Linked DNA regions of Canis lupus familiaris. The protein of the gene in region 2 interacts with the protein of the main gene of each other region in a pairwise test. Links are inferred from orthologs where the notes say so. Each region holds a gene or a part of one and is shown on either strand. Other genes may lie near its edges. The genes, in order: EIF4E2, EIF4ENIF1, EIF4E and DTX2.

Region 1 (7,972 bases), on a different chromosome or scaffold from region 2:
TCAGGACCACCAGGCCTGAGAAATAAAGCATGGGAAATAAAGAGACCAAGCTGGAGTCCTTGAGTGGTTGAGAATGGCTGTGGGCAGGGTGCACTGTTGGAATCAGCATCCACATAGCTCTGGCTAGCTAGTCCTGGCAATCCCCTCACCTCAGCAAGACGTTAGCAACTCCTGTCATTTCTGAAGCCCTAAGGACTCTGTCTTGTATGACGTCCCCAACTAGGCAAGGTCCCATCCCTCCAGGACTGGGCCTCCCTACCTTTGTACGAGTCCCTCCCCACAGGCTCCCAGAGGAGAGAGGTCAAGAGAGATGTGAAGAATAGCAGGCAATGTTCTCTTGAAGGAAGGGCAGCAGCCCACGCCAGCTGGTATATCCCTTTTCTACTTTCTGGGTGCTATAAGCATCCAAGACTCTGCTGCACAAGTGACCTTTCCATTCATATGCATTTTTTTTTTTTTTGGTCATTGATCACAGAAGAGTTACTCATGTCATCAGGGACAAGCAAGGGTCACTATTTCCCCACGTTTCATTTGGGCAGATTGGGGCTCCAAGTGAGAGAGGGGGCTTCCCAGAACACTGATGGCTAGGGCAGCCATCATGAGAGCCTGTGTCTCTCATGAATAAATATTTTAAAATCTTTTTTAAGATTTTATTTACTTATTCATGAGAGACACAGAGAGAAAGAGAGAGGCAGAGACACAGGCAGGCTCCACGCAGGGAGCCCGGCGTGGGACTCGATCCCAGGTCTCCAGGATCACACCCCAGGCTGCAGGCAGTGCCAAACCGCTGCGCCACTGGGGCTGAATCTAAATATTTAAAATCTTAAAAAAAAAAAAAAAAAAAAGAACACTGGTGGTTAAATAAAGTTTGGAATGCAGAATTCCCAACCCAATTTTAGACACTCCCAAGAAAGATTCGGTGGCCTGGAAAACAGACCCCTCTTCCTTCTCTTCTCAAAGGGCGGCGGAGCATTTGCACTGGTCTCAAAGGATGCTTAAGACAAGGAGGAGCTGGGCAGAGAGGCTGGGAGGTGATGGGCTGGGCTTTCCCTTCCGGCAGGAGATTCTGGATCCACTTAGAAAACAAGATGCCCAGCTGAGGTCTTCCTGGCGGGAGAGGCAAGGCCCGGCTTTGAGAATACAGCTGGGGCCCGAGTTCTGTTGGTGAGGAGAGAACCCGAGCAGGTCATTTGTGCCCTCTGAGCCTCTGTTTCTTCATCTGCAAATATGGGTTCGGATTTCCGCTTCCTACCTATCCACCCCCATCAGAGGATCAAAGGTGCGGGTGACAGTGAATCAAAAATGTGCATAAGGGGCAGTCCCGGTGGCGTGCGCCTGCAGCCCCGGGTGTGATCCTGGAGACCCGGGATCGAGTCCCACGTCGGGCTCCCTGCGTGGAGCCTGCTTCTCCCTCTGCCTGTGTCTCTGCCCCCCTCTCTCTGAACAAATAAATAAGTCTTTAAAAAAAATGTGCCTAAGACCTGACAATGGGACATCGTGGGGGCGGGGGGGCTGGTAATAACCGCCTTCCCCAAGCACAGGGGTGCTGGCTTGGGGGCTCCACCAGCAGCAGGTTCGCGTCCTTAACTCCCGTGCGCGCCGCCCCTGTGTCCCCGGAGCAGAGGCTTCGGATCCGGGAGGCGCTCGCTCCGAGCCTGGCGGGCCCATCTGGGGTTCCGGTGAGCTTCGCACTAACTGTGTCACCTGGCGTCGGTCTCTCCACATCTCCGACCGCCTCGGGGGGCGCGATGAGCTCCTTCGCTCCCCCGCACAGGTCAGCAAGACGGAAGACTCCGCGCGGGCGGCTGCGTCCGGCGCCGGACACCGGCGGTCCGGTTCTAGCCACACGGCGACCCGAAGGGGCGTGGCCGGGACCCAGGAGGAAACAGCCTCGGGCAGGTGAGGAGCGAGTCCAGGACGGTGCAGCCGCCCCCCGGGGGGTGGGGGTGTGGAGTCGGGGCGCCCCCTCGGACGTGCGGCGGGGACCCAGGCAGCCTCCGCGCAGCCGCCGCGCAGCCGCCCGGGGCCGGCGTCCCGGGATACCCGCCCCGCACCGGACTAGCGCGCAGACGTTCCGCTGCGCCGCGCGCAGCCGGAAGTGGCCGGGCCCTAAACTGGGGGGCGGGGGGGGGGAAACCCGGCGGAGCGGAAGTCACTCCGTGAGGCAGTGGCGACGGCGGCGGTGAGAGGATGAACAACAAGTTCGACGCGTGAGTGGCGCGTGGCCGCCCCGCGGGGCCCCTTCCCCCAGCCGTTCCCCCCGCGCCCGCCTCCACGGGGGCTGGCAGCGGCGAAACTCCCCGGCGCCGTCCTGCGGCCTGGGCTTGGGCTGCGGGCCTTCGCGGCCCGGGCGGCCGGCGGGGGAGAAGGGGGGCTGGGGGGGGAGGCGTCATGCAGGGGTGCGGAGCGGGGTACGGCCCCAGGGCGACGCGCGGGGTCCCGGGAGGGGTGGCCGCGCCGCCCGGAAGGAGATTTTTGGACGCCCCGCCCCGGTGGGTGCGGGTTGCCGGCGGCGCGGAGGGGCGGGGACGGCGGCGACGGCGGCGGTTTTGGGGTGTTGGCGCAGCCCGGCCGCCCTGCCTCCGGACCCGGCGGGGGCTCCACGCACACGCTCTCCCGCCCGGGCAGCTCGCCTCGCCCCTCTGAGTCCGGGTTCTCCTCTGCAGAGTGGGGACGGTGACAGCCCGGGCCGGAGAGTGGTGAGGATGCAGTGAGGTAATGTGGCCGTTGGCGCCTGCAGGCGGCTCAGTTACGGAATGCTCCCGGCCTTCGCGAGGCTCCTTCCTGCTTCCTTTCTCCTCCCCCTTCCCCCCCACCCTCCCCGCTCCAGCACGCTCCGCAGGAGCTGCCCCTGTTCTGGTCCCCCGAGCACCCCCCTGTCATTGCCCCCGTTTCCACCTCCCCAGTTCCAGCAGCATCGTTTGGGGGCGCAAAAAAAAAAAAAAAAAAAAAGGAAATGCAGAATTATTTCTTTGCACGTTTCCCTCTAGCGATTGTGTCTTGAGGCAGGTTATGTGCTTCTAGTAAGCATAGTTGATCTCTAGGGACCTAGATTCCCAGGTCCAGACCCACCAGTTTACCGCTTCTATGCCCGTGGAAGAGTCACCCACCCATTGTTAACGTAAAGCACGTTAGCGGTTGGGGCCCTGCTGCTGCCCTGGTGTGTGAGGATCAAATCGCGTTCAGCAAGTGCTTAAAGGGACTTTGTAAATTGCTAATAGGGAGGAATGTAAAGTGGCATCACTGTTTAGGTTGTGACCTGCTGCTGATGGGAAATTGTTTTTTTTTTGGAGTTTTTTTGTGTGCCCCCCCCCCCCCCGCCCCCCAGTACAATGAGTGCTGGTTTGCACTTTCGGGAGTCCTGGATTTCAGCGCTCTAGGCAGCTCCTCTGGAATGTGTTCCTGGTTGCTGAGAAGTCTCTGGGACTTGGAAAAAGTCTTTGGCTCAACGTTCCCCCAGCCTGCTGCTTAGCTGAGCCCATCTCAATAGGAACAGCCACACTTCCCACCACCCCCCCCCCCGCCATTTGCACCCCTTATATCTTAAATCTTTGCAACACCAAATTCCAGATCTAAGTCCTCCCTCAGTAGAGCTTTCTGTAAATGCTATACCTCTTCCTCCACTGAATTGAACAGATCAACATTGCATCTTAGGAAGGCACTTTATGGGTCAGCTAAGCCGAGTCTTGCCCATATCATTTGGGGATCTGCGGTAAGCTAATTTAAGAATGATAGTAACAGGGGATCCCTGGGTGGCGCAGCGGTTTGGCGCCTGCCTTTGGCCCAGGGCGCGATCCTGGAGACCCGGGATCGAATCCCACGTCGGGCTCCTGGTGCATGGAGCCTGCTTCTCCCTCTGCCTGTGTCTCTGCCTCTCTTTCTCTCTGTGTGACTATCATAAATAAATAAAAAATTAAAAAAAAAAAAGAATGATAGTAACAGGTTTCATAGGAATCTTGGTAGATACTTTTCATATGTTATTTCTACTGCTAACAATTCTGCTAAGGGGATCATGTTACCTCCTTTTATAGATAGGAAAATGAGGCCCTCTGAGGTTAAGTAACTTGCACACGAAAACAGGAAGGTGCACGTAGCAGGATTCAAACCCCGGTTTGTTTAACCTTGGTTCAAGTAACTCTTGACAAAAATTAACCTGGGTCATTTTTAATTCGTTATAATTATTAACTATGCCTTATAATGACCCAGAATTTTTTAACATCTCCTAGGTATGCAGTTAAAAAAACAACAACAAAGCTCTCATTTATTTGAAATTAGCAATTAGAGACCACACTCCTGCCCCTAGTTTTTATTTTTCATGTAACAAGTTTGTAGGGTTTTTTTTTTTAAGTTTGTTTATTTAAATAATCTCTACACTCAGCATGGGACTCGAACCCACAACCCTGAGAACAAGAGTTCCTCTGACTGAGCCAGCCAGGTTCCCCAAAAGTCTGCAGTTTTTAGACGTTTTAGTTGTTTGGCTTCTGTACTCTTTACCACGTGGTTCCTAAGGACTGGTTCCAGTTTGCCAGTATCCTAAAAGTCCAGTGCCTAGAGCTGGGTACTGTAGTCTAATCTGATCAGCCCAGTTTAAAGAAGAGCTCTAACCTCCTGCATGGGCTCGATTTCTGAGAGTGTAATCTAGGATTATAATTGCACCCCACCCCCTACATCTATCCAGTCAGTTAGCTACCACTGTCATTGACCCTGTTGATGTGTGAAACCTTAGGATGATTTCACTATTCTGCAGTCCCAGACTGTGATTACCTTAGTTTTCAGATCTAGATGCCATACTTGATTTTGTTACTGTTCTCTCTTTGCTAGTTTTTGGCCCTTTCTTACAATATTGGCCGAACCACCTGTTGGCTCCCATCCTATTCTGCCTTGTATTGCTTTGATTTTAGAAGTGCATTCATTAAACATGTTTGTTGTCTGCCTCGGTCTCATGCTGGGCATGTAAAGATGAATTAATCTAAGTTCCTATCCACAAGGAATTGGTCTACTTAGAGAGCAGTGTGAGGATAAACCTGGGCAGAGGTTTGGTGAGTTGACTTGGAGCCACTCAGTCTGGATAGCCTTAGAGATGCTAATTGCCCTCCTGAGTCTGGAGCACTGATTTTTAGTCCTGATTGTATCTTGGCTCAAATCCAGCTTCAAGCTGGAAGAGTAGCCTCTGGAAGACAGGATGCAAGTGATTTGCTTTAAGTATAGGCTTAGAGGGCAGGGTTAGCTCCACCCTCAAGAAATAACACATTAGAATTTCCTTTTATCATCTCTGAAGGGAGTCAGGAAGTGTGGTCCAGGAACCACAGTAGCACTCTCTTCTCAGATATAATTATTTTTGCTATTTTTCTGTTTCCTAATCATGAATAGCAGCAAAGAAAGGAACATGTGCTTTTCTTAGTGCTAGTAAAATGAGAGATGTGGGATGACTGCCTTTCTTCAAGATGTAAAGGGAAGGGACCCCAGAAGACTATCGTGGAGGCTGGGAGGTAAGAAGAGAGGGAAATGGTTTGAGTCCTGAGATATGCCCTAAAGAAGAGAACGAGGGCTGTCTTGGGCCTATTCAGTATAAAAAACCATTTGTTTGGGAGCTGATAAATTAGGCATAACCTTATAGCTGAGACAAGTACAAACACTGATATGATGAGGTTCAGAAGAGGGGAACCTGATCCAGCCTAGGGAGAGATTAGGAAATGCTTCTAAGAGAAAGTGGCCCTTATCCTGAGTCCTAGAGGACAATTTAAGTAGGGGAAGAGAGGCTCTCCAACGAGAGACCAGACGATGAGCATAACAGAGGGAGGAGAGATCAAGAAGCTGCAAGTAAGTTGATAACATGAGAGTGGAGGTGTTTGTTGGGACCAAGCAGGAGGTGATACTGGCACATACACACAGAGCAGGACCTTTGTAACCAAGCTGAGGCCTGAGTATGTATACCTTATCTCCTCAGTCAGGTGCTTGGGGACAGGCAGTAGCATCTGATACAGTAAGTGGCTTGGTAAATATGGGACTTGGTGCTATACAGGCTCCTTTAGGAAAGTACATCAAACCAACTTGAGTTTAATAAGGGGAAAGGAGTATCATAAATGCAGATAACATTCTCCCAGAAGTCTCCTAGGTCTTACCGAGTCAGTGAGGTCGCAGCATCATAGACAAAGCCCCTTTTCTCTCTGCTTTCTCTGCTCCATTCCCTTTCTCCCTCCTGGCTTTCTTTTCTCTTGTTCACTTTTTCCATTATGGCTTTTTTCATATGGGACCCATATGATTGCCCCAGCTCTTGAATCTCTGATCTTTCATCTCCTGAATGAAAGGCCAAGGAAGAAATGTAGTCATAATTTGAGCAAGACCACAAGGCACCAGTTATTGGCCAGGATGGACTGCCCTTAGTTCAGGTGCCCTTCATAGTCCTGTTGTGAGCAGGAAGGTAGGGGATAGGGTCACTTGGGGCATGATGCACCTGAATGTATCCTACAGGTAGAGCTGTGAAATGGGCAGAGGAGGTACCTCAATACATGGCTAGTTTGTGCATTCTAATATTTATTGAGTGCTTTTTATGTGTGTGGCATGGGAAATTTATGGACAAAAGAAATGCAAAATGCTTTGCAACGTGTTTCTGTAGGTATGTAAGATAATGTGTATGTTATCATTTGAGTATTTCTAGTACCTTTCTTGAGAATTACCTAATTCTGTTTGACTAGATAGTCCTTAGGGCCAGAGGTAATTTTGGAGAAGATCCATGATAAGCTAATGGTCCAGCTCTAAACTAAATGGCATTCTTATGTATTTGTGAAGTCATCACCTGCTTATCTTTCTGTCTAAATCCAGTGAGCTTTATATGTTACCTGAAAGCCTTAGGATACTTTCACTGCTTCTAGGAGGGTAGCACCTACTGTGCATTTGACCAATCTTACCAGGCGAAAAGACATTCATTCCTTCTTTCAGTCATTTCTTTTTCTTTTCACTAAACATTGATTCAACATCTTGTGCTACACGTTAGGGCGGCATCTTCTTGTCCTTGGTGCTGAAGGCACAAAGATTTATATTAGACTGTTCTAAGAGATCCCTCCACTTAATAGTAAAAACAGACATGGGAAGAATGTCACCTTGGGCTTAGAGGTAGTGTTTGCAGATAGCACAGCTGTGGGACTATAGGTTGCTTTGGGAGATGGGGAGGGAAAGAAGATTTCAGTAGGCAGGAGTCAGATTCTAGAGGATCTTAAATTTCATTGTATTTTATCCTGCAGGGTGGTCATCCAAAGACAGGGGACGGTTAATGGTTTTAGGCATGGAAGTTAAATGACTAGATTGAATTTATTAATTAAAGATTTTTCAAATTTATTTTAGTGTGTGCGAGGCAGTGGGGAGGGCAAGAGGAAGAGAGAATCTCAAGCAGACTCTGCTGAGCATGGAGTCCAATGCAGGGCTGGACCTCACAACCTTAAAATCAGGACCCTGAGATCAACTACTTGAGCTGAAACCAAGAGTCAGATACTTAACCTACTGCACCACCCAGGTGCCCTCATATTTACATTTAGAAAGATGCTCGTGGCTATGTGGAGGATGGATAGAGGGTGGAGAGGATTTGTGTCAGGGAGACCATTTAGGAATTTATTGCAATAACAGAGGACAAAGAAGAGGGCCTGAGCTAAAGCAGTGGCAATGGGGAAGGATAGGAGAGATGGTTAGAAGAGTTGAGAGAGATAGGTAAATTTTTAAACTTCATTTGAAATGCCAGAGCAGTTATACAATCCAGAAACTCTTCTCATTATTGACTCGTTATTTTTGGCAAAGAAAACCGTCCCTTAAACTGTTTGCTGGGGATCCCTGGGTGGCTCAGAGGTTTGGTGCCTGCCTTTGGCCCAGGGCGTGGTCCTGGAGGCCCAGGATCAAGTCCCACATCGGGCTCCCTGCGTGGAGCCTGCTTCTCCCTCTGCCTGTGTCTCTGCCTCTCTCTCATGAATAAATAAATAAAATC
Region 2 (7,492 bases):
ATTGGGTTAGCACATGCTTACTGCCAAATAGAAGCAGATACTATTCCTTAAAGACTGACATTTACGTTTGTTTATTTATTTATTTATTTATTTATTTATTTATTTATTTATTTATAAATAATAAATTTTTTATTGGTGTTCAATTTGCCAACATACAGAATAACACCCAGTGCTCATCCCGTCAAGTGCCCCCCTCAGTGCCCGTCACCCATTCACCCCCACCCACCACCCTCCTCCCCTTCCACCACCCCTAGTTCGTTTCCCAGAGTTAGGAGTCTTTATGTTCTGATATGTCCCTTTCTGATATTTACTACCCATTTCTTCTCCCTTCCCTTCTATTCCCTTTCACTATTATTTATATTCCCCAAATGAATGAGAACATATAATGTTTGTCCTTCTCCGATTGACTTATTTCACTCAGCATAATACCCTCCATCCAGTTCCATCCACGTTGAAGCAAATGATGGGTAATTGTCATTTCTAATGGCTGAGTAAAGACTGACATTTAAACTAAAATGACTGCTTTGGTGGAGATAGTAGCCTCACTTTACAAAGAAACAGAGTCCTGGAAAAATGAACATTTCAATAGCCTGATCAATGCCCAGTGTGTATTCTTGTCCACTAGAACACTGTTTCTCCCTGACCCACTTTACCTGGCTGAAGCTGCCTGCCCACCTTAAACTGATGAGGAACATTTTGCTGCTGTTTTGGGTCCCAACTTAAGAATGAAAGGTGGAAATGAGGGTCTGTATTTGGCTCATACATTTGCAAAAGAAACTTTAATATATCTTCTATTCCTCTTATTTTGTGTTAATGTGGAACATCTCAACAGATAAATAGCTTTTGCAAGCTGTAGCAGTGTTCTATATGCAATTTTATGCCACTGTCAAGCTCTGGAAAGCAGATGGGGGCCTGTCAACTGAGAATGGGTCTAAGTGGGTAGGGATGTGTACTGGCAGACAAACACAACTGGCCATTTATGATAATACACTCAAAAGGTAGAGACCCAGGAAAGAGAACTAAGGGGAAGTTTTATCACGTTCAGAAGGCCCACATACTTTCATTAGAGAGAACACAATTTTTTTTTTTTTTTTTTTTAAGACCGAAAACATGCGAGCTGTGCAAGGAGGGGCAAAGGGAGAGAGAGAGAATCTTAAGCAGGCTCCATGCCCAACACAGGGCACGATTTCACAACCCTGAGATTATGACCTCAGCCAAAAATCAAGAGTCAGACACTTAACTGACTGAGCCACCTAGGCACTCCTAAAATGTTCTTTTCAATCAATGGAGGGTTTTAACCATATCTGACTTCTTTTTTTCCCTGGTTACATGTGTTAATGCATATTCAAATTGTTTTATTACCATTTATACATCACCTAGCACTGGGCCCCATGTAGAGTGAGTAGTTCATTACACATCGTTCTTAAAATCATACAGGAAAGGAATAGGTTTGCTTTGTTTACTGCTATACTCTCAGCACTAGGATGTACCTGCAGAGAATGGCTACATAAAAAAATTCCACAGAGGGGTGCTTGGGTAGTTCAGTAGGTTAAGCGTCTAACGCTTTGATTTCGGCTCAGGTCATGATCTTGGGGTTGTGAGATCAAGCCCTGAGTTGGGCTCCATGCTTGGCGGGGTGTCTACTTGAGATTCTCTGACTCTGCCCCTTGTCCTGGCCCCACTCGCTCTTAAAAAAAAAAAAAAAAAAATTCCATTGAAAGTTAGAATACAGATACAAAAATGGACTAAAAAGCACTCATCCCCCCCCCCTCCCTTTCATTCTTGTAGCCAAGATGAAATAATGGGATACTGGTTTATCCTAAATACACTTGCTAAAATAGCCTGTGGACCGTCTGCAATTAACTATTGGGGTGAGTGAGCTAGGGCCCCTGGATTTCACTTGAGACTCTGCCATGAAATCCATGTGACAGGGTCTTAGGTTGTCCCCTCTTTCCAGGTCTGTCTCTGTGTGTATAAGATAAGGAGGGGACATTATCACACCATTTGGCTCATCCACTTGTTGATATAATATGAATGGGTGAAATTTAGATTACACCTCAGTTGAGAAAAACATGTGCCTTCCCCTCACATACCCAGCAGCAGCCTTATCTTTATCATTATGTGAAAAGACCATGCTTGGCTGGTACTGCTTTAGCCTGAGAATGACACAAAGGCATGTCTCAAATGCTATTTAAGAGAAATATCTCGCAAGTTACCCATCACTCTTCTGCATCACCCCAGGGAACAATGTGTAACAGCATAAAGATAATGATGATGTCTATTGTGTCTTAAAGATACTTAAAAAAAAAAAGGGGGGGGGGCAAGTGATTTCTCTCTTTTCCCTAAATAAATTCCACTAGCTCACTTTCTGCTTAAATATATTTTAGCCTCATAATTTTAAGGTGGCACTGATTAAACACTTATATTAAAACAGTTTTCTACTTTTGTTGACTAGTATCGGCCAAAAGGTGTTTTCCAACTAAATCTGAAAGCTGAAGAGAACTAGAATTTACTCAAGAAGTGCCCACAAGAAACTAAGCTCTCATGTTCACATCTGAACTTTAATGCTAAAAGTAACCCTTGATATTATGAAGTAGGCACTATCTTCACCTTACAAAGAACCAAGCCCCCTATCAAGAGTTTTAGCAAAGATTATACATTTGGTAAGCAGAACTCCAATACTCAAACTCACGCTAGCCAGCCTGGCTCTTCACTACCACTTCTCAGGATCATCAGCCCAAGACTGGCCACCCTAAAGCCAGGCTACTGCCCTGAAAATGAGTAGTGGGCCCCCAGCTCTGTATCAGTCACCTCTCACATAGTAGCTCTGGCTTTTTCAGTTTGATAAGGAGATATCCCACCACATCTCATAGCTAACGGAGTCTAGAAGCCAAGTCACAAACAACACATGTAGGAAGTTCTAAAACCACGGTGAAGAAGGTGGGCTCTGAAGTACAAAAGGACTTGTTCAACTCCCAACTTGACTAATTACTTCCTCAGTGTCCACAGACAAGTCCCTCAAGCCTCTTGAGTCTCCATTCACTCAACCACAAAAGTACCTGCCTCACAGGGCTGTTAGAAGGATTATACAGCCAAAACACTTAGCACTGTGCCCAGTTCTCAATTAATGAGACTCCTTCACTATTTCTACCACTTTTCTGATCTCTAGGGAACCCTTTTGTGTACACAGTGCTCTTACAGGGCAACGTGAGACTTCTCTGTTTAGCACTGCAGGCAGAACAAGTTGAGGATGTAATACACACCTAGTAAATTCACCTGACACTTCCTAGCAATTGGTACAGTTATTCCTAAGTGCATAATTAAGACAATTAGAAGCACATCTCATATTAGAAGAGTAAGCTTCCCTCTCAAAGTTTTTGCTTACCTTCCTTCACGGAGGCCGTCCTTCGCCTTGTTCTCTTTCTCCCCTTGTGATCTTCTTCCAGTATCTTATCATCAAAGCCAGTCAGCTCAATGGTTTCAGATTGACTTGTGGGTCCAGCTGAGAACCATTCTGGTTCTTCTTCTGTGTAGGAATCATTTCTTCTTCGCTCACCAAAGACACGCTTACTATCCCCAAACTCCCTCTGGAAAAGTACACAATGCAAGATAAAAAAACAGGTTCTACTTAAGGCGTTTCAACCTGAGTCAAGGTCTTGATGTGTTAGGTAATGGTCAATTGATACTACGATTGATACTGCAGATACTATGCTGCAGACATGGAGCCCCTCCCTGCCCCCAGCACTCTGAGCCTCTTTATCTGGCTGAAGAATGGGCTGTGTTCATCTGGCATCTCAAAATAACCTGCTAGAAATGAAGTGCATATGAAGTCCCTAAGCACATGTGGGGTGAAAAGATCTAGAAGACAAACCCTGAATCGCTTGTCCTTATAGTCTCTCTCTCGGTCTCTGTCTCTCAAGTCCCGCAGCTCCTTATCACTAAGACGGTGATCCTTCTCAAAGGTCCGAGCAGAGATTATCCTCCCACTGCCAATCCTTCGTCCGCCAAGCAGGCGAAGCCCATCATTTTCTTTTTCCAACGGGCTTCCTGAGTGCCGGGAACTAACAGCAGCCGTCACGTGGCAGCCCCCTCCAAAGCTTCGTCTTTGTGGGCTGAGAACAACATCTAAGTCATCTTCTTTCACGCGCTCTCGTGGATCTGGAAAAACACCAGAAAGAGAAAGTTAAGCAAACCAGCAGGGTACTTTTCCTTTCTTGGTAGTATGTCCATGATTAGTGGTGATGAGGGTTTTGGAAGAGTCACCACTGAAACAGGTACAGAATAATGTGCATATTTAAGTAAGACTGAGTCTTTTGCTTTTTCTCTCTGGAGCAATAAATGTACTTCATAATAAATGATTTTCCATGATTGGTCTCCATAATCCCTTTATTTTTGACTAAGGCCTTATCTACATAATTACTAGAAAAATAATTTGCCAATTATAGTAGGTGTATTTGGAAAAAATAACTACCTAAAAAGCTGAAGTGTTTCTTCAAAAAATGGTATTTAACAGGTGGATATCCACATGCAAGAAAATGAACTTGAGGAGCCCCTGGGTGGCTCAGTGTTTGAGTGTCTGCCTTTGGCTCAGGTTGTGATCCTGGGGTCCTGGGATTGAGTCCCACACATCAGGCTCCCCACAAGGAGCCTGCTTACCCTCGCCTCTCTGTGTCTCTCATGAATAAATAAATAAAATCTTAAAAAAAAAAAGAAAATGAACTTGAATTGATACCTGGTACCACATACAAAATGCAAAATAGATCATAGATCTAAATGATATAAAACTTCTAGAAGAAAATAAAGGAGGAAATCTTTGTGACACTGGGTTAAGCAGAGTTTTCTTAGGCACAACACCATGACCACAATATATTAAATGAAAAAACTGGGCTTGATCAAAATTTAAAACTTCTTTAAAAAGCAAAATAAGATCTAAAGCAAAATAAAATCTAAAGCAAAATGAGATCTTTCAAGGATTTTATTTGACAGAGAGAGAGAGACAGAGAGAGAGAGACAGAGAGAGAGAGACAGAAACAGAGCAAGCGCGTGCACATGCACGCATAAGGAAGGAAAACAGTAGAGGGAGAAAGAGAAGCAGACTCTCTGCTGAGCAGGGAATGTCATGCAGGGCTCCATCCCTGTACCCTGAGATCATTCATGACCTGAGCCATAGGCAGATGCTTAAATTACTGAGCACCCAGGTGCCCCTGAAAGATACTCTTCTAAGAATGCAAAAACAAGCCATAGACTGGAAGAAAATATTTCAAAGTATATCTGATAAAGGAAGGACCTGTATCAGGTACATATAAAAACTCTTCAAAATTAAAACACAATCGGATTAAAAAATGGACAGGGACACTTGGTTGGCTCAATGGTTGAGCATCTGCATTTGGCTTAGGTTGTGATCCCGGAGTCATGGGATTGATCAAGCTCCCCATGGGAAGCCTGCTTCTCCCTTTGCTATGTCTCTGCCTTTCTGTGTCTCTCTTGAATAAATAAAATCTTTAAAAAAAAAAAAAAGTGGACAAATGCTTTGAACAGAGACTAGAGGATATATGGATGGCAAACAGGCATAAGAAAAGATACTCAACATTATTAGCCATTAGGGAAATGCAAATTAAACCATGATACTATTACACATCTAATAGATTGGCTAAAATCTCAGACTGATCATTCCAAGTGGTGACAAGGATGCAGAATGAGTGAACCTTCATACATTGTTCATACATTGCTGGTGGAAATGTAAAGTGGTATAACCATGTTGGAAAACAGCTTGGCAGTTTCTCAAAACGTTAAACATACATTTACTATAGGACTCGGCCATTCTACCCTTAGGTATTAACTCAAGAGAAAAGAAAGTATACACCCATATAGAGACTTATACATGAATGTTCATAGCAGTTTCGGTTAGTAGTCAAAAGCTAGAAACAGGGATCCCTGGGTGGCATAGCGGTTTAGCGCCTGCCTTTGGCCCAGGGCGCGATCCTGGAGACCCGGGATCGAGTCCCACGTCGGGCTCCCGGTGCATGGAGCCTGCTTCTCCCTCGGCCTGTGTCTCTGCCTCTCTCTCTCTCTGTGACTATCATAAGTAAATAAAAATTAAAAAAAAAAAAAAAAAAAAAACCTAGAAACAACCCAAATGTCCATTAACAGGATACATGGATAATCCGTGGCAAATTCATAAAACAGACTACTACTAGGCAATAAAAATGAACTATTTATACAACCAACATCATGACCAAATCTTAAAACTACTGAGTGAAAGAAGCCACCCAAAGGGTGCACACTGTAGGATTCCACTTATATTGAATTCTAGTAAATGTAAACTAATTTGTAGCGACAGAAGGCAAATCAATGCTTGCCTGCAGGCGAATGGGGGCGGGGGTGTGTGTGTGGGGGGAGTATGAGGAGGGATTCAGAGGTACCAGGGAACTTTTGGGGGTGATGGAAAAGCTTATTGCTTTGATCATGGTAATGGTTCCAGAGGTGTATGCATCTATCAAAACATCAAATGGTACACATTATGTGTAGTCTATTGTCAATTATACTTCAATAAAGATATGAGAAAATCAAACCTGTCACCACACAAAAATCTTTCCTAGAAAAACCAGAAAACTGAAGTCCAAGTGAGAAAATTCCTTCAAACTTTTCACCAGAAACAGTAACTAAAATGCTATGTACTTTTCCAGAATTTTCACACCATGTCTCCATGTTTTCCAAAAACAAGACACAGTATGGGCGAGTTCTTAATTTACAGCTGAACAACTTAATATTTCTACATATGGACATACCAAAGTCTACGTAACCCATTTCTACCCCTAGACATTGAGTTTGCTTACTAGTTTTCATCATTTAATAAAATCTCTGAGCACATCTTTAATGATTCTCCTAAAATAAATTCTCTGCTCGAGGGATATCACTGCACTAAGTGTACTGTAAGATTGTATAGAAGGATCTTCTATCTCAAACTAGAGTCACCCCTATCTTCTTTGCCCAGTCCCAAATTTGTTTTATAATGGGTTTTCCTCTTATCTCAAAAAAAGTTCTTGCAATAAGTTCCTTGACTAACTTCTATACTGCTAGTCCTCCACTTCACATTTTCTTTTTTTTTTTTTTTTTTTTTTTTAAGATTTTTACTTGACACAGAGAGAGGGAGACAGCACATATGGGCACACACAAGTTAAGTAGGCAGAGAAGCAGAGGGAGAGGGAGAAGCAGGCTCCCAGCTGGGCAGAGAGCCTGATGTGAGGCTCAATCCCAGGACCCTGGCATTATGACCTGAGCTGAAGGCAGACAACTGACTGAGCCACCGAAGCACCCCTCTTTTCTGGCTGAAATGGGAAAAAGTATGGAAAACCAAATTTGAGCCCAGTTTCAAACCATATCCAAACCATGTATTCAGACCATAATCCACTATTAAGAATTGTTATTTATTTATTTATTTTTAAAGATTTTTTATTTATTCATGAGAGGTAGAGAGAGAGAGAGAGGGAGG
Region 3 (7,492 bases), on a different chromosome or scaffold from region 2:
TGAGATCACGACCTGAGCCGAAATCAGAAGAGGGACACTTAACCGACTGAGCCACCCAAGCACTCTGGAAATAAACTTTAAAGAATACCCGCCCCCTACTCCTAGACAAAAGAACTGAGCTGACTGTCCAGAGATAAAAAACAAAAATGATCAATATATATGAAACGGCTTATCAATGTCAATAAAAGAAAATTTAAAATAAGACACTGTCCACATATAAAAACAAAAATGACTGATACATGAAACAGTTTTGCAATGTCAATAAAAGAAATGCAAATGTAAAATGATAAGACATTGTTTTTATAAATCAGACTAGGACCAACCAACTGGCAAAGATGCAGAAACCAGGAACTCTCAAACTGCTAACAGCCTAAGCTGATAAAAAAAAGGAGGATAATTTGGCAATTATCTACTAAGGTTATTAGAGCATAGTCTTTAACCTAAGAAATCTGAAATTTTATCTTATATTCACACAAGTGTACAAAAAACATAAATATGCATAAATTACAACACTGTAAATAGGAAACAAAAGTCTATATACCCACTAAGATAAGGGTCTTGGGATCAAGTCCCACATCAGGCTCCTTGCATGGAGCCTGTTGCTCTCTGCTCTGCCTGTGTCTCTGTGCCTCTCTCTCTCTCTCTTTCTGTGTTTCTCATGAATAAATAAGTAAAATCTTTAAAAAAAGAAGAAAAGAAAAAAACTACATAAAACATGTTTGGACTTTTATTTTGATAAATCTACCATGATAATGAAGAAATGATAAAAAAATATTCAGGCCATAAAGTGAAATGTATTTTTTAGATATTTATAGTTTCACTATAGGTATACATCAGAGATACTGTAGATGCAAATGCAAATCACCATAATAAAGCAAGTTATCACAATAATGTAAGTCAGACTATTGAAGTTTTTCGTTTCCCACTGCACGGAGAAGTTATGTTTACACTATATTTGTCTAGTAAGAGTAACATTATTGTTATTATGATGATGATGATGATGATGATGATGTCTAAAAAACTACTATAACCTTAATTTAAATATACTTTATTACTAAAAACCATCATCTGAGCTTTTAGTGGGTCATAATCTTTTTGCTGGTGGAACGTCCTGCTTTGATTATGCTGGCTGCTGGCTGATCAGGGGTTGGTTACTGAAGCATGGGGTGGCTGTGGTTAAACAATGAAGTTTGCTCTATTAACCGACTTTTCCTTTCACAAAGGATTTCTCTGTAGCACACAATGCTGCTTGGATATTTTATCCACAAAATTTCTCTCAAATTCTCTCAAACTGCTGCTGCTTTATCAACTAAGTTTGTGTAATGTTCTAAATCCTTTGTTGTCATTTCAACAATCTTCACAGCATCTTCATAAGGAGTAGGTTCCATCTCAAGAAACCATTTTCTTTGCTCATCCATAACAAGCAACTCCTCACCCATTCAAGTTTTATGAGTTGCAGCAATTCAGTCATGTCTTCAGGCTCCACTTCTAGTTCTATTCTTTGCTATTTTTACCACATCTGCAGTTACTTCTTCCACCAAAGTCTTGAAGCCCTCAAAATTCATCCAGAAGAGCTGGAATCTTCCAAACACCTGTTTCATGTCAGTATTCTGACCTCTACCCATGAATCACAAATGTTCGTAAAGGCATCTTAGAATGGTGAATCCTTTCCAGGTTTTTTATTTTATTTTTTTATTTTTAGATTTTATTTATTTATTCATGGGAGACACACAGAGAGAGAGAGAGAGGCAGAGACACAGGCAGAGGGAGAAGCAGGCTCCACGCAGGGAGTCTGATGAGGGTCTTGATCCCAGGTCTCCAGGATCATGCCCCAGGTCGAAGGCGGCACTAAACTGCTGAGCCACCGGGGCTGCCCCTCCAGAAGGTTTTCAATGTACTTTGGCCAGATCAATCAGAATAATCTCTATCTATGGCAGCTAGAGTCCTACAAAACGTATTCCTTAAATAGTAAGACTTCAAAGTCAAAATTACTCCTTTTCCAAATGTTGTATATAAACTGCAAAAACAGATGTTGTATTAGCAGGCATGAAAACAACATGCATTTGGTACATCAGAACTCTTGGGTGACCGAGTATATTGTCAATGAGCAGTGTATTTTGAAAGGCATCCTTTTGTTCTGAGCAGGTTTTAACAGTGGGATTAATATTCAGGAAACCATTTTGTAAACCAAAGTTCTGTCATCCAGACTTTACTGTTCCATTTATAAAGCATAGGAGAGCAGATGAGCATAATTCCTTAGGACTCTAGGATTTTCAGTATGGTAAATAAACACTGGCTTCAACCTAAAGTCACCAGCTATTATATTAGACCCTAACATAAAAGTCAGCCTAGGGATCCCTGGGTGGCTCAGCGGTTTGGTGCCTGCCTTTGGCCCGGGGTGTGATCCTGGAGACCCGGGATCGAGTCCCACATCAGGCTCCTAGCATGGAGCCTGCTTCTCCCTCTGCCTCTGTGTGTGTGTGTGTGTGTGTGTCTTTCATGAATAAATAAACAAAAATCTTAAAAAAAAAAAAAAAAAAAAAAAAAAAAGTCAGCCTGTCCTCTAAACACTTAGGCACTGACTCCTCTCTCACTATGAAAGTCCACCCAAATGGGCATCTTCCTTCACTAGAAGGCTGTTTCATCTACATTGAAAACCTGTTGTTTAGTGTAGCCATCTTCATAATGAACTTATTAGCAAAATCTTCAGGGTAACTTGCTGTAACCACTTATTGCTTCACCTTGCACTTTTATGTTACAGAGACCATTTCTTTCCTTAAACCTCATGAGCCAAACCTATGTTAACTTTAAACTTTTCTTTGGCAGCTTCCTCACCTCTCTTAGCCTTCAGAGAATTGAGGAGAATTAATTAAGTCCTTCTTCTGGTTTAGGTTTTGGCTTAAGGGAATGTTGTGGTTGGTTTGATCTTCTATCCAGACAACTCAAACTTTCTCCATATCAGCATAAGGCTGTTTCACTTTCTTATTATTCATGTGCTCACTGGAGTAGTACTTTTAATTTCCTTCAGGAACTTTTGGCTGTTTAGTACAAGAGGCTTAGTTTTTGCCCCATCTCGGCTTTTAACATGCCTTCCTCACTAAGCTTAATCATTTCTAGTTTTTTATTTAAAGTGAGACATGTAGGACTCCTCCTTTCACTTGAATATTTAGAAGCCACTGTAGGGTTATTAATTGGCCTAATTTCAGTATTGTTGTGTCTCAGGAACAGGGAGACCCAAGGTGAGGGAGAGAGACGGGGAACAACTAGTGAGAGTAAGGCAATTAGAACACACAATATTTATTAAGTTTGTAACTTTATATGAGCACAGTTCATAGTGCCCCAAAACAAATATAACAGTTACATCAAAGATCACTGATTACAGATCACTCTAACAAACATGATGAAAAAGTTTGAGATTTTGCCAAGAATTGCCAAAATGTGACACAGAGACACAAAACAGCAAATGTTGGAAAAATGGCACCAATACTTTTGCTCAATGAAGGTTGCCACAAACCTTCAATTTGTAAAAAATGCAGTATCTGCAAAATGCAATAAAATAAGGGATGTCTGTGAAACATACACAGGCCTATGGGATCTGTAAAGTAGATAGGGTAAAAAAAAGTCTTGGGGTAGGGAAATGAAAGGAACTGAATTACTTAAATATCCTCAAATTCATTCTAATTTACTTTCTTCCAGATTCTTACAATATTTCTGCATTGCATTTTTCTTCCCCCACAATCAGCTCTCAGTGCATTTATATTAATTTTCATCATATAAACCATAAAAACACAAACACTGGGAAGGTGTGAGGTAGAGTTGAGAAAACTATATGAGCTACTACTATTCAACTACTGTAACTATGAAGTTTAATTCATCTTTTTTTTTTAAAGTAGGCGCTACATACAGCATGGAGCTTGAATTTACATTATAACCCCTGAGATCAAGAGTCGCATGCTCTTACCAATTGAACCAGCTATGTACCCCGAAGCTTAACTCACCTTAATCTCTCTTTTCCTCGCCTAACTTGTCTTAAATAAAAACCAACTAACCTGCAGATGCCACATCCCCTAGCTTTTTCTCCTTTACAGCCCAACTTCAAGTTGTTTATTCTTGCTCTATATAATAATTTATATTCACTCTCTACAAGCTATTCCAATCTTTTTCCATCATCTACATTCTACTAAACTTTCCCCTACATTAGCTAGGACTTTATCATTCAATCCAATGGCAATTTTGAGCCTTTTTAAATTGTTTAATCCAATGAATATCTGATCTTTTTATGGAACATATGCTATTAATCACCTGTCCTTAAAACAAACCATTTTCAGGATGCCTGGGTGGCTCAATGGTTGAGTGTCTGTCTTCAGCTTAGGTCGTGATCCCGGGATCCCGGGGTTGAGTCCCACATCAGGCTCCCCACAGGAAGCCTGCTTCTCCCTCTGCCTATGTCTCTGCCTCTCTCTCTCTCTCTCTCTCTCAAGAATAAATAAAACCTTTAGAAAACAAAAACAAAAAACCCCCACATTTTCTTTGTTTCCCTGACCACGACTCTGTCCCAACTTATAGTTTATGTGTCTAAACCCTTCGTAGGCATTATCCCTCCAAAAAAATCCCTTATAAGTTGGTATTCCAAGCCTCTGTCTTGAGTCAAGTTCACTTTAAAGACGATTCATTTACTACTATAATTTCACTTACTACCAATTACTGACGAATTTCAAACCCAATGTCTCAACCAGTGCTCTTTTCTGAGCTCGACTCACACATAAAACTGCCTGCTATAAACAGGTTATCCAAGTGAAAATGGAATCCTCAACCCAATATATCTAAAACTAGTCTCACCCTGTTTCCTCCAAACCTGTCCTATTTCACCATTTACTTCATTGTCTAAGTCAGAAGAACATATGTGTCAGAAGGCTTACCTGTTCTGTAAAGGATGTTTAATATAGTGTTCTGGGTTAGCAACCTCCTGATTAGATTCTGTTTTCTCTTCTTCTGTAGGCGGGGGATTAGGAGTAGGGGTGGTTTCCTAATGGAAAATAATAAAAATTATTTTAAAATTTTTAACATAACTATGATAACAATACTTTAAAGCAATTCGAACCAATACTGCCAATATTCTTCTTTTAAGGAGAATTATAAAAGCATTTCATAAAATAGACCACAGACCAACCGCTAGAACTAAGAAAAGCACCAGACTCTCCATTCTAGCATTTCTTCACTAGGAACAGAAGATTTCTCAATAAAAATATAATAACAATATTATATGCAGTTTCTGTCACTTACACATTTTGGTATCAGAAAGATTGTTAGACACCATGCAACAAAGTTAAGATAACCAGCAGTCTTCCCAGTCTTCCCTAACATACTATTAACGTACTATGCATGGTTTGGAGATTGGGGAAGTATAGCTTAAATTTGGTGAGTTTAAGAACTATATTACAATGGCAAAAGAAAACTTTATAAATTGATCAAACCAATATTACACAGGTCCTTCCTTCATGTTATACTATTGTAACATCTGGTTAACTTAAAAGTTCTGTTATTTTCAATTGGCCCGAGGCAAAAAAAGCTCAATGTTGGCTTGAACCTAAATCTTTTTCTAGATTAGACCTAATTAATATAGTCATCTAAAAAATCAGGGAAACGGATGCCAGGGTGGCTCAGCGGTTGAGTGCCTGCCTTCAGCCCAGGGCATGATCCTGGAGACCTGGGATCGAGTCCCATGTCAGGCTCCCTGCATGGAGCCTGCTTCTCCCTCTGCCTGGGTCTCTGCCTCTCTCTCTCTCTCTGTCTCTCATGATTAAATCAATAAAAATCTTTAAAAAATAAAAACAATAATAAAAAATCAGGGAAAAAAGGAGCTTGGGGATAATCTGTGTTCTCCACATTGCTCCATGTAGCTCTTCACTCAATTATAAATTACTGTCAACAAAACTGAACGCCAAAGAAAGGCACCAGAAGCTAAAACAAAAGCTGATTTTTTTCAAAAAAAGGCACTGCAACAAGAGTCTGGGGACTGAATTTAAATTGAACCAGCAAAACAATATATGCTCACATTAACAAGATTATGTAAATCAGAGATGAAGGATCTAAAAGATCTCTTAGTGGATAGTTGGTAAATATTCATTTTACAAAATAGATTTTTCTTAACAACATGACATATGTAGGAACTAATATCTACTAGCCAATGAATAGTCACTCACAGCAGAGGCTATGTCTTGATTTTGCTCACAACTATAATGCCAATGAGCAAAGTGCTATACTCCATAGGAACTTATTGTCTTGATTTCTTAAGTAGTAAATTTAAATGTTTACAAAGCAATTAAGACCCTAAAATTTACAGAGTAGTCAAGGTCTTAAAATCACCAAACATTTTTTACCAGCATATTTCCATCAGAGTCAATTTACAACTTCATAGAATTACCAAATGCCATTCCTTACCCCACCAGCTTAAAATTAATGACAGTTTCCAGAGGCAGTCTCAAAGGATCAAGAAAATAGGGAAGTTAGGGACTAAGTGGGCCTAGGGCGACAGGGTACTACCAGAGGTGTGAACCTCAAAACTCTATATAAAAATCCCTCAGAGGTCCTTGGCTAGGCTAGTTCCTAAGCTGCGATGTTCAGAGTTCAACTCTGGATAGTCTAGAAGAGAACAGCTGAGCCAAGACTTCAGAGGCTGAATACCACAGGGAAAATGGTTCAGATCCAGACACAGTAGGTGAGTGAAAATCCTCAGCTTTCAGATGAAATCCTAGAAAGGCCATGCCCTAGGAATCAGGGGAAATATATCTGCCTAACAAATCCTAAAACCAATCATTGACAGGATCAAGGTAATCTACCTATAAATTAAGTGCCTCCAAGAACCAAACTCTACATTCTTCAGAAGAGAACATAATCGGGATCCCTGGCTGGCGCAGCGGTTTGGCGCCTGCCTTTGGCCCGGGGCGCGATCCTGGAGACCCGGGATCGCATCCCACGTCGGGCTCCCGGTGCATGGAGCCTGCTTCTCCCTCTGCCTGTGTCTCTGCCTCTCTCTCTCTGTGACTATCATAAATTAAAAAAAAAAAAAAAAAAAAAAAAAAGAAGAAGAGAACATAATCCTCTGTCTCTATGAATGTTATTTACCTACCAAACAAACATTACTAGACATACAAAGAATTTTAAGTCACTAATGATCAAGAAATTAACCTATTCACAGAAAAACATCCAGACACGACCAAAGTAATGGGAGTTTATAATTATGATTACTATGGTAAAACAGCAAAGACAAAATAACCAAGATTACTATAGTAAAATGAAGACAGAAAAAAGGATTAAAAAAAATGGGGAGTATTTGAAAAGAAAACAAATCTTAAAAAAAAAAAAAGACATTATGGAACTGCCAAGTATAATGCCTGAAATTAAGAGTTCACTGAATGAGGCACCTGGGTGGCACAGTTGGTTAAACCATCTGACACTCAGTTTCAGCTCAGGTTGCGATCTCCTGTCATGA
Region 4 (7,492 bases), on a different chromosome or scaffold from region 2:
CTCCCAAGCCAGTTCTACAGAGGACACTGAACTTGAGCCCTCAGCCAGGAAGTCAGGAAGCTGAAGCTTGGCTCTACAATTCCCCCAAGTTAGTGGGCTACTCATCACTGGCTCAGAGAGGGTCCAAGAAGTGGGATCTTCCTTTGCTGGGAATAGGCATGTATGTGAGGGAGAAGGCCTCAGGTTCCACCCCCAAGAACTAGAGCAGAAAGCAGGCATTAAGGCTACCACTGGACACTCATTCTAGAACTGGGGCCAGGAACTGTGACTAAGTTCTATGGGTCTCACAGTGTTGCCACTTCCCCTATCATTCATCCCAGTAGCTACTCTGTAGGTATCCCTGCAGTGATAGGAGCAGGACAAGAACCCAGGAATTCCAAACATGGGGACTCTTGGGGTGGACAGGACCTCGGAGGTCACCAACTCCCCCTCCACCATCCTCAAAGGGCCCAGACGGGCAGAATGGTCCCCAGCATGGGCACTATTTACCCAACAGAGCACCCTTCTCTGACAATTCCTCCCAGTCACTGCCTCCAGCAACGCTCCTGACCTCCCCTCTTCCTGGTTCTACCTACTAGGCCCAACCTGGCTTTCCTGTCTGGGACTCTCTCCAGGAGCTTCCAAATGGAGCTCAGAACAGGAGACAGAAGGACTTCCAGTCTTCTATGAAGGCAGGATGTGGCAGTCCCAGGCAAGCACAAAAGCCTCCCACCCGCTCCCCACAGGCCAGCAAGCCAGCACTGACCAGCAAGCCCTGACAGCAGGTGCAGTACAAGGAGCGTTAGATGTGGGGTCTGGAGACCCCACTTCCAGCGCCACTCCACCTTAAACCTGCATGCCCTTGGCCAGGTTGAGTCCCCTTTCTGATCAATTTCTCTATGTGTAAGATGAGAGCAATTCCAAAAGGCCCCCAGGATGGTTGTGAGGCTCAATCTCCAGCCCAATACAAATGTTCACTGTTTCCCTGTTCTCAGAGGAGTCAAGGGGACACAGGAAAGCTGAAGGGCTGTCATGCATCTTCCTGCAAGGCCCCCCACGGAAATCCCAAAAACCACAAAATTAGAGCAAAGGGAAAATTCTGGCTTCCCGGCCCAACTCCTTAATCTCAAGAGGGGAGAGAATAGACATAGAAAGAGAACAGAGCTGACCCAAGGGCCTATAGCCAGTCAGAGGAAAGGTACCCCCCTTGGACCCGGGACTCCAAGCATGCAAGCCAGGTGGACTGCAGGAGGGAGTGTTTGCAGAGCCTGGGGGAAGAGCGGCAGCGAGAACACAGCAGATGGAAACAAACTGGGAAAGCCACATCCTAGGGCCACTTAGTGCAAGGGCAAGCCACCCCAAGGCTTAGCCACGCCAAAGCTACAACAGACAGCCGGTCATGATCACCACCTCAAGTCATCAAGATGTTAATTAAGCCACCACACCCTCTACTAAAGAAGACAAGGGTGTACATGACACATTTCGGAAGGTTTTCTATCCAACATCATTAAAACACAAGTCTTGGTGCTGAAAGGATAAAGTTCAGCGACCAGGAATTTTTTTTTTTTTAAGATTTTATTTATTCATTCATGAGAGACACAGAGAGGCAGAGAGGCAGAGACACTGGCAGAGGGAGAAGCTGGCTCCATGCAGGGAGCCCTATGCGGAACCTGATCCCGGGTCCCCAGGATCACACCTTGGGCTGAAGGTGGTGCTAAACCCCTGATCCACCCAGGCTGCCCAGGAAATTTTCTTAAACCCCGGCAGCTGAAGGCGACACTGCCTGCTCAGAAAGCCTCCCAGAGCACAGGGAAATCTGTCAGCCAAGGTTTTATCCGGATTGAGCAAGAGGCGATCTGAAACCACATGGTTTCCAAAATAAAAACCACACGTGTTCCACAAATTTTGATTTTGCTCCTCTGCCTGTTCTTTCCAGTGGCTACCAGTAAATAAGGCTGGTTCTCAGGCTTCCCTAGCCCATGGTGCCCCCAGCCCCGCTGCCCTCTGGGGAATGTCCACCTAATGCAATCAACATTTGTTCAGCTTGGAGAATCAAACCACAGCCCCTAGGGAGACAGAGTTGTCAAGTGTTTTCGACTGTCCTTGTTCGGCTGGGTCGAGAGGCCAGGTATTCATTAAGCCCCCTCCGTTCCATAAGAAACAGGTTAACTGAATGAGGGCCACCCGACAAATAAGACATTGAGAAACCCTGTTTTTCAAAACAGGGAGGGATATGGCCATGTGAGTGAACTGTGCCTCTCCCAGGTCCTGAAAAGCTGGAGGAGCTAGAGATGAACACCCACTTCAGGAGGCAGGCCCCTTTGAGGCGGTTTCAACTAACCTAGCCGGTTGGCCTGGTTCCCTTCTTGGCTTACAACCAAGGCAAGGAGGGCAAGCAGCAACACGCATGGCCAGCAGCACAGGTGAGGCCATGTGGCCCAGCCACCGTCCCTTCTGAAACTTGCCTGGCCTGTGCCAGGGGGGCTCACTTTGGCAGTCTCTCGGGCCCTCAGGCTGGGGAGGGAGGGATGCCAGAGAAATATCAGGGGAGACCAATGGGAGCCCCGTGCCAGAAGAAAGCAACAAAGCCTATTAAGTCACCTGGCTCAATCCCAGAATCCCAGCTATAGAACTATCTAGAAATGTGCCCCAAAATAATTTGTAAGAACTTAAGAAGCCCCAGGAGGCTCAGCAAAACCAACCTAGTAGAAGCAGCTCTAGCCCTGCTGATAACCACTCCGGGCTGGCAGAGAGCATACTTTTCTCTGAAGGATTCTGACCCACATATCAGAGAGGGCCTCACGGAACACTGGGTGGGGCTGACATAACACAGAGCCCTGCTTGCTAATGCCTAAGTGAAAATCCAGGGAGATGGCCAAGTGAAAGCTCCCATTCCCAGAAAGACCTCAGTTCACACACCCCCAGTCCCTAAAGGAGAAGATGCCCCTCCCATCTACGGATACCTCCACGCTATCCTTCAGGAAGTCTCGGTCTTCCCCCTCACTCCACCTGTAAGAGAGCTTCAAGATCTCCCCATGGGTCCCTCACAGCCTGCTCTGGGGCCTGGGTTTAATCCCAGCCATGCCACTTGCTGGCTGTCCTGCCAACCTCCATGTGCTCACCCGGCAGCTGAGGACACCATCTACCAGATGGCCATGAAGAGGATTACTGAACTCATCCACAACCTAGCTATGTGCACTTGGTGAAGGGCAGTCATCACTGTCTTACAGTTGCCAGCAAGGGCCTCTGAAACCCACCTTTAAAAAAATGCTAGAGGCTGATGTCAGCCTAGCCCAACGGGATGCTGCCCCCATGGGGGGTGGGGGAGCCACGGGTCCGCTAGGGGCCCACAAGTCACTCTCTTGGGAACCAGCCCCCATCCGGGCTGCCATTCAGAACTCTCTGGCTGTCCCCCAAGTCCAGCACATTCAATAATGCTCCCCGAGGAGCCACTCTTCAGTGACAGGTCTCCAGGAACCACCTGGAACAACCACCCCCCCACTGGCCACTCCAGGGCTCTCCCAACTTTTCGGTGGCCTCTGGTCCAGGTGGAGTCCAGGCTCATTTCCCCATCCTCCCCCAGGTGCAGAGAGCTCTACAAGACACTGGGCCGATTGTGCCACCGTGGAAGCCATCCTGCTACCTGTTGCCACCTGCCACATACTCAGCATCTTGCTCTCTCAACTGTTAAGCACCAAAGCTGGGCTCACAGCCTTCCCCTGGATGAGTGGGAGGGGACTGAACCTTCCACACCTGTGTCTTCGGTGCCTGGCACAGAGGAGTTGTCTATGAGATGTCCTCAGGTACATGGCAGAGCTATGTGGCACACAGGTATAGCTAAAAGGCCTTTATATGCTTTACAGAGAGCCTCTCAGGAGTGAAGGCAACTATCAGCACTCAGGTACCAGAGATCACCTAGACTCCATGAACCCAGACTGAGGAAGGCCAGCATGCAGGCGCCAGGTGGCACATGCAAAGGAGACGACACAGCATGGACGTCCACGGAGGCAGGGCCCAGGCCTGCAGGTATTTGGGCCATCTTCCCAGCTAACTCAAAGCAGAAAGCCAAGCCTGCTGACATGGCGCACAGGTGGACAAAATGACCCTCAATAACAAGAGATACCTGGCTCCACTGGCAGTGGACAATCCTGGGGGCTGGTGCTGCAGTCCCAGGTGGGAGAGGCTGGAGCGGTAGAGGGGCTGGCTCCCCAGGGAGGGGGGCGCCCCACCCCAGGGGTTGGCGGTGTTCAGCCTGGGTGCAGACCTAGCCCCAGAGAGGGAGGGCTTGCTGTATGGAGCAAAGGCCTGGTGGGCCCCAAAGACAATGGCGGTCCTGTGGGGGGGCTGAGGGACAGGGTACGCAGGGAGGTTGGTCATGGAGTGGCGGTAGCGGCCTGACACCGGGCCAGTTCCACCACCACTGAGGCACTGATGGCAAGAGCAGGCAACTCCCGTGTGGCCTGGTGGAGCAATGATGGTGGTCACTGGGTACGGGGTTCCTGCTTGGCGCCGCACACTGCGGCAGAAGCTTGAAGTTTTGTTGGTCTGCGTGTGAGTGGCATAGTTGACGGTATAGTTGTACCCCAGGGGAGCCAAGTCCACAAGTTGGTTGCCCCTGGCCATCTGTTGCTCCAGGAAGTCACAGACACTGGCTTCATAAGCCGTCCAGGAACCGTCGTCACTCAGCCACTCCCAGACAATGCCCCGGCCGGGGGCCGACTGCTGGGGGAACAGGTGCCTGCGCACAGCCCGCATGGTGCCTGTTCGAAGAGGAGGAGGACACATGAATGGTGAATCTCCTAGCCCCCCAAAACAAAAAGAGTAAAAAATTTTTTTCTACAAACAAAATAAGCCAGCATGGTCACAGTATGAATAGACAAGAGTCATGCTGTTATTTGAACAAAAGGCTGGCACCAGTTATTCTTCCCAAATTTTGGGTAGAAAGGGCAGAAAACTCTCTCTAGGTAAAGAAACTGGGGGAGCGCGTGGTGGCTCAGTCAGTTGAGCATCTGTCTTTGGCGCAGGTCATGATCTCAGAGTCCTGGAATCAGTCTGGAGTTGGGCTCCCTGCTCAGTGGAGAGCCTGCTTCTTCCCTCTCCCTCTGCCCCAGCTCATGCTCACTCATATGCGCTCTCTCTCAAACGAAAGGGAGGGAGGGAGGGAGGGAGGGAGGGAGGAAGGAAGGAAGGAAGGAAAGAAGGAAGGAAACAAACAAACTTGGCCTAAAGGGATCTACATGGCAGATGGGGATCTGTGCTCCTTGGCAGGAGTGGGGGATGCTAGGAACTTAGGTCAAAGAACAGCTGTGGGGAATCCCTGGGTGGCTCAGCGGTTAAGTGCCTGCCTTCGGCCCAGGGCGTCATTCTGGAGTCCTGGGATCGAGTCCCACATCAGGCTCCCTGCATGGAGCCTGCCTCTCCCTCTGCCTGCCTGTCTCTCTCTCTCGCTCTCTCTCTCCCTCTGTGTGTGTGTGTCTCTCATGAATGAATAAATAAAATCTTTAAAAAAAAAAAAAAAGAACAGCTGTGGCTCAGACTCCAGGCTTTTTCTTTTCTTTTCTTTTAAGATTTTATTTATTCATGAGAGACACAGAGAGAGGCAGGCAGAGACAGAGGCAGAGGGAGAAGCAGGCTCCATGCAGGGAGGCTGATGTGAGACTCGATCCTGGAACTGTGGGATCTGAGCTGAAGGCAGATGCTCAACCACTGAGCCACCCAGGCGTCCCAAGGATTTTTCAAAATACTTCTAATGATGCCTCTTTTTTGCTCAGGGAAGTGTCTCTGTCCCACCAGGAAGCTCTGCAGCCATGGACAAGATCAGAAGTGGCATGATAAACAGTACAAGAAAGCCTATTTGGGCACAGCCCTGAAGACCAACCCTTTTGGAGGCATTTCCCATGCAAAAGGAATTGTGCTGGAAAAAGTAGGGGTTGAAGTCAAGCAGCCAAATTCTGCCATCAGGAAGTGTGCTGGGGTCCAGCTGATCAAGAATGGGAAAAAAAAAAAAAATCACTGCCTTTGTACTCTTTATGGTTGTTTGAATTTTATTGAGGAAAATTATGAGGTTCTGGTTGCTGGATTTGGTCACAAAGGTCATGCTGTGGATGACATTCCTGGAATTGGCATTAAGGTTGTCAAAGTAGACAATGCCTCTCTTTTGGTCTTATACGAAGGCAAGAAGGAAAGACGAAGATCCTCAGTTTTGATGGTGAAAACACAACAGTAAATTTTCATTTACCAAAAAAATATATTTCTAATGATGAAAAATAGGTAGCCTCACTTAAAAAAAAACAATAAACTGAAAAATATATATATAAAATTAAACCATCTATAATCCAACCATCAAGACTAACCAAACAGCTTGTATCACCATGCATTCCTCCCATCTGGTCTCCTAGGCATCTACCCTTAGGAAGCTGACAATCACACTGAAAAATTTTCCAGACTATTTTCTTATATTAGGCCATGAGTATTTCTTATATCTCTAAAACTTTATAAAGCTCATTATTCATTTTTTACATAAGTCCCTTACCTGGGTGTAACAATCCCTTTGACTTCTCAAGTAGCAACTATTGGGAAACACCCAGTGGTTAGCTTATATTCTTAATAAACCAAACCTGAAGATTACAGAGCAAAAGAAGAGAAATAATTTGGGCCATGTTTCCAATAGCACTTGCCAAAAGATGATCATCAAATTCACTTCTACTGGTCTCCTGATCTCCACCCTTGCCTCCATGGCAGCCACAGGGATACTCCTCACCTCCAAATCAGATTATGGCACTCCTCTGCCCAAATCCTCCTAAGGTTCCTCCTTTCAGAATAAAAGTCAAAGTCCCTTCAAGGGACAACCTGCCCCTCCCTCGGGCCTGTCTTCGTTCCTTCCTTGTGACCTGGCCACTCAAGTTCAAACTTCGTCCTCTCACAACACTACAGTTCCATTCCCTGATTAACACTCACTGTGACTGGGATGCCTGGGTGGCTCATTGTTTGGGCGTCTGCCTTTGGCTGAGGACCTGATTCCAGGATCCTGGGATCAAGTCCCACATCAGGTTCCCTGCATGGAGCCTGGTTCCCTCTCTACCTGTGTGTCTCTGCCTCTCTGTGTGTCTCTCATGAATAAATAAATAAAATCTTTAAAAAAAAAATCTCCAACACTGTCAAACGTCCTGGGGGACAAAATCACCCCCAGTTGAGAACCCCTGGGTGAGAAGGACAGGGCATGGCTCTGGGAGGAAGCTGGTGATCCCATTCTCAGTAATATTGATCAAAACCCACAAAAAACCTACACATGAGCATAATAAGAGAGTGAAATTACCTGCGTAACTAGGTCACGCAGATAGTGCAGTGAAGGCAGAAGTCATCACTAGGCCCTCTTTATCAGCACACACACTAATTCCACGCCAGCCTGTCTGCAAGACCCTCTAATCACTGCAGGTGGAAGCAGGCATTTGAGGTTTGGGAAACAAGGGGGAAGGGGCTATGAGGGCCTATGCACTCTGCTCTTGAGGCACTC

What was found.
Region 1: the proteins of EIF4ENIF1 (region 2) and EIF4E2 interact in binary tests that used the Homo sapiens proteins (3 or more experiments, as listed by UniProt). The two-hybrid records come from large-scale screens. The link is inferred for Canis lupus familiaris from reciprocal best matches to the Homo sapiens genes EIF4ENIF1 and EIF4E2.
Region 3: the proteins of EIF4ENIF1 (region 2) and EIF4E interact in binary tests that used the Homo sapiens proteins (3 or more experiments, as listed by UniProt). The link is inferred for Canis lupus familiaris from reciprocal best matches to the Homo sapiens genes EIF4ENIF1 and EIF4E.
Region 4: the proteins of EIF4ENIF1 (region 2) and DTX2 interact in binary tests that used the Homo sapiens proteins (3 or more experiments, as listed by UniProt). The two-hybrid records come from large-scale screens. The link is inferred for Canis lupus familiaris from reciprocal best matches to the Homo sapiens genes EIF4ENIF1 and DTX2.

The regions. Positions count from the first base shown.
Region 1 is NC_049246.1:44,367,464-44,375,435, forward strand, and holds the start of EIF4E2 (eukaryotic translation initiation factor 4E type 2), read left to right. Parts: upstream 1-2,157; 5' UTR 2,158-2,190; coding exon 2,191-2,210; intron 2,211-7,972. UniProt on the Homo sapiens protein: Recognizes and binds the 7-methylguanosine-containing mRNA cap during an early step in the initiation. Acts as a repressor of translation initiation.
Region 2 is NC_049247.1:24,786,505-24,793,996, forward strand, and holds part of EIF4ENIF1 (eukaryotic translation initiation factor 4E transporter), read right to left. Parts: intron 4,159-7,492; coding exon 3,872-4,158; intron 3,588-3,871; coding exon 3,386-3,587; intron 1-3,385. UniProt on the Homo sapiens protein: EIF4E-binding protein that regulates translation and stability of mRNAs in processing bodies (P-bodies). Plays a key role in P-bodies to coordinate the storage of translationally inactive mRNAs in the cytoplasm and prevent their degradation.
Region 3 is NC_049253.1:18,832,273-18,839,764, reverse strand, and holds part of EIF4E (eukaryotic translation initiation factor 4E), read right to left. Parts: intron 5,027-7,492; coding exon 4,920-5,026; intron 1-4,919. UniProt on the Homo sapiens protein: Acts in the cytoplasm to initiate and regulate protein synthesis and is required in the nucleus for export of a subset of mRNAs from the nucleus to the cytoplasm which promotes processes such as RNA capping, processing and splicing.
Region 4 is NC_049227.1:7,535,150-7,542,641, reverse strand, and holds part of DTX2 (probable E3 ubiquitin-protein ligase DTX2), read right to left. Parts: intron 6,438-7,492; exon of another isoform or gene 6,206-6,437; coding exon of another isoform or gene 5,732-6,205; intron 4,740-5,731; coding exon 4,103-4,739; intron 1-4,102. Other genes in the region: 40S ribosomal protein S23-like, read left to right, coding at 5,732-6,205. UniProt on the Homo sapiens protein: Regulator of Notch signaling, a signaling pathway involved in cell-cell communications that regulates a broad spectrum of cell-fate determinations.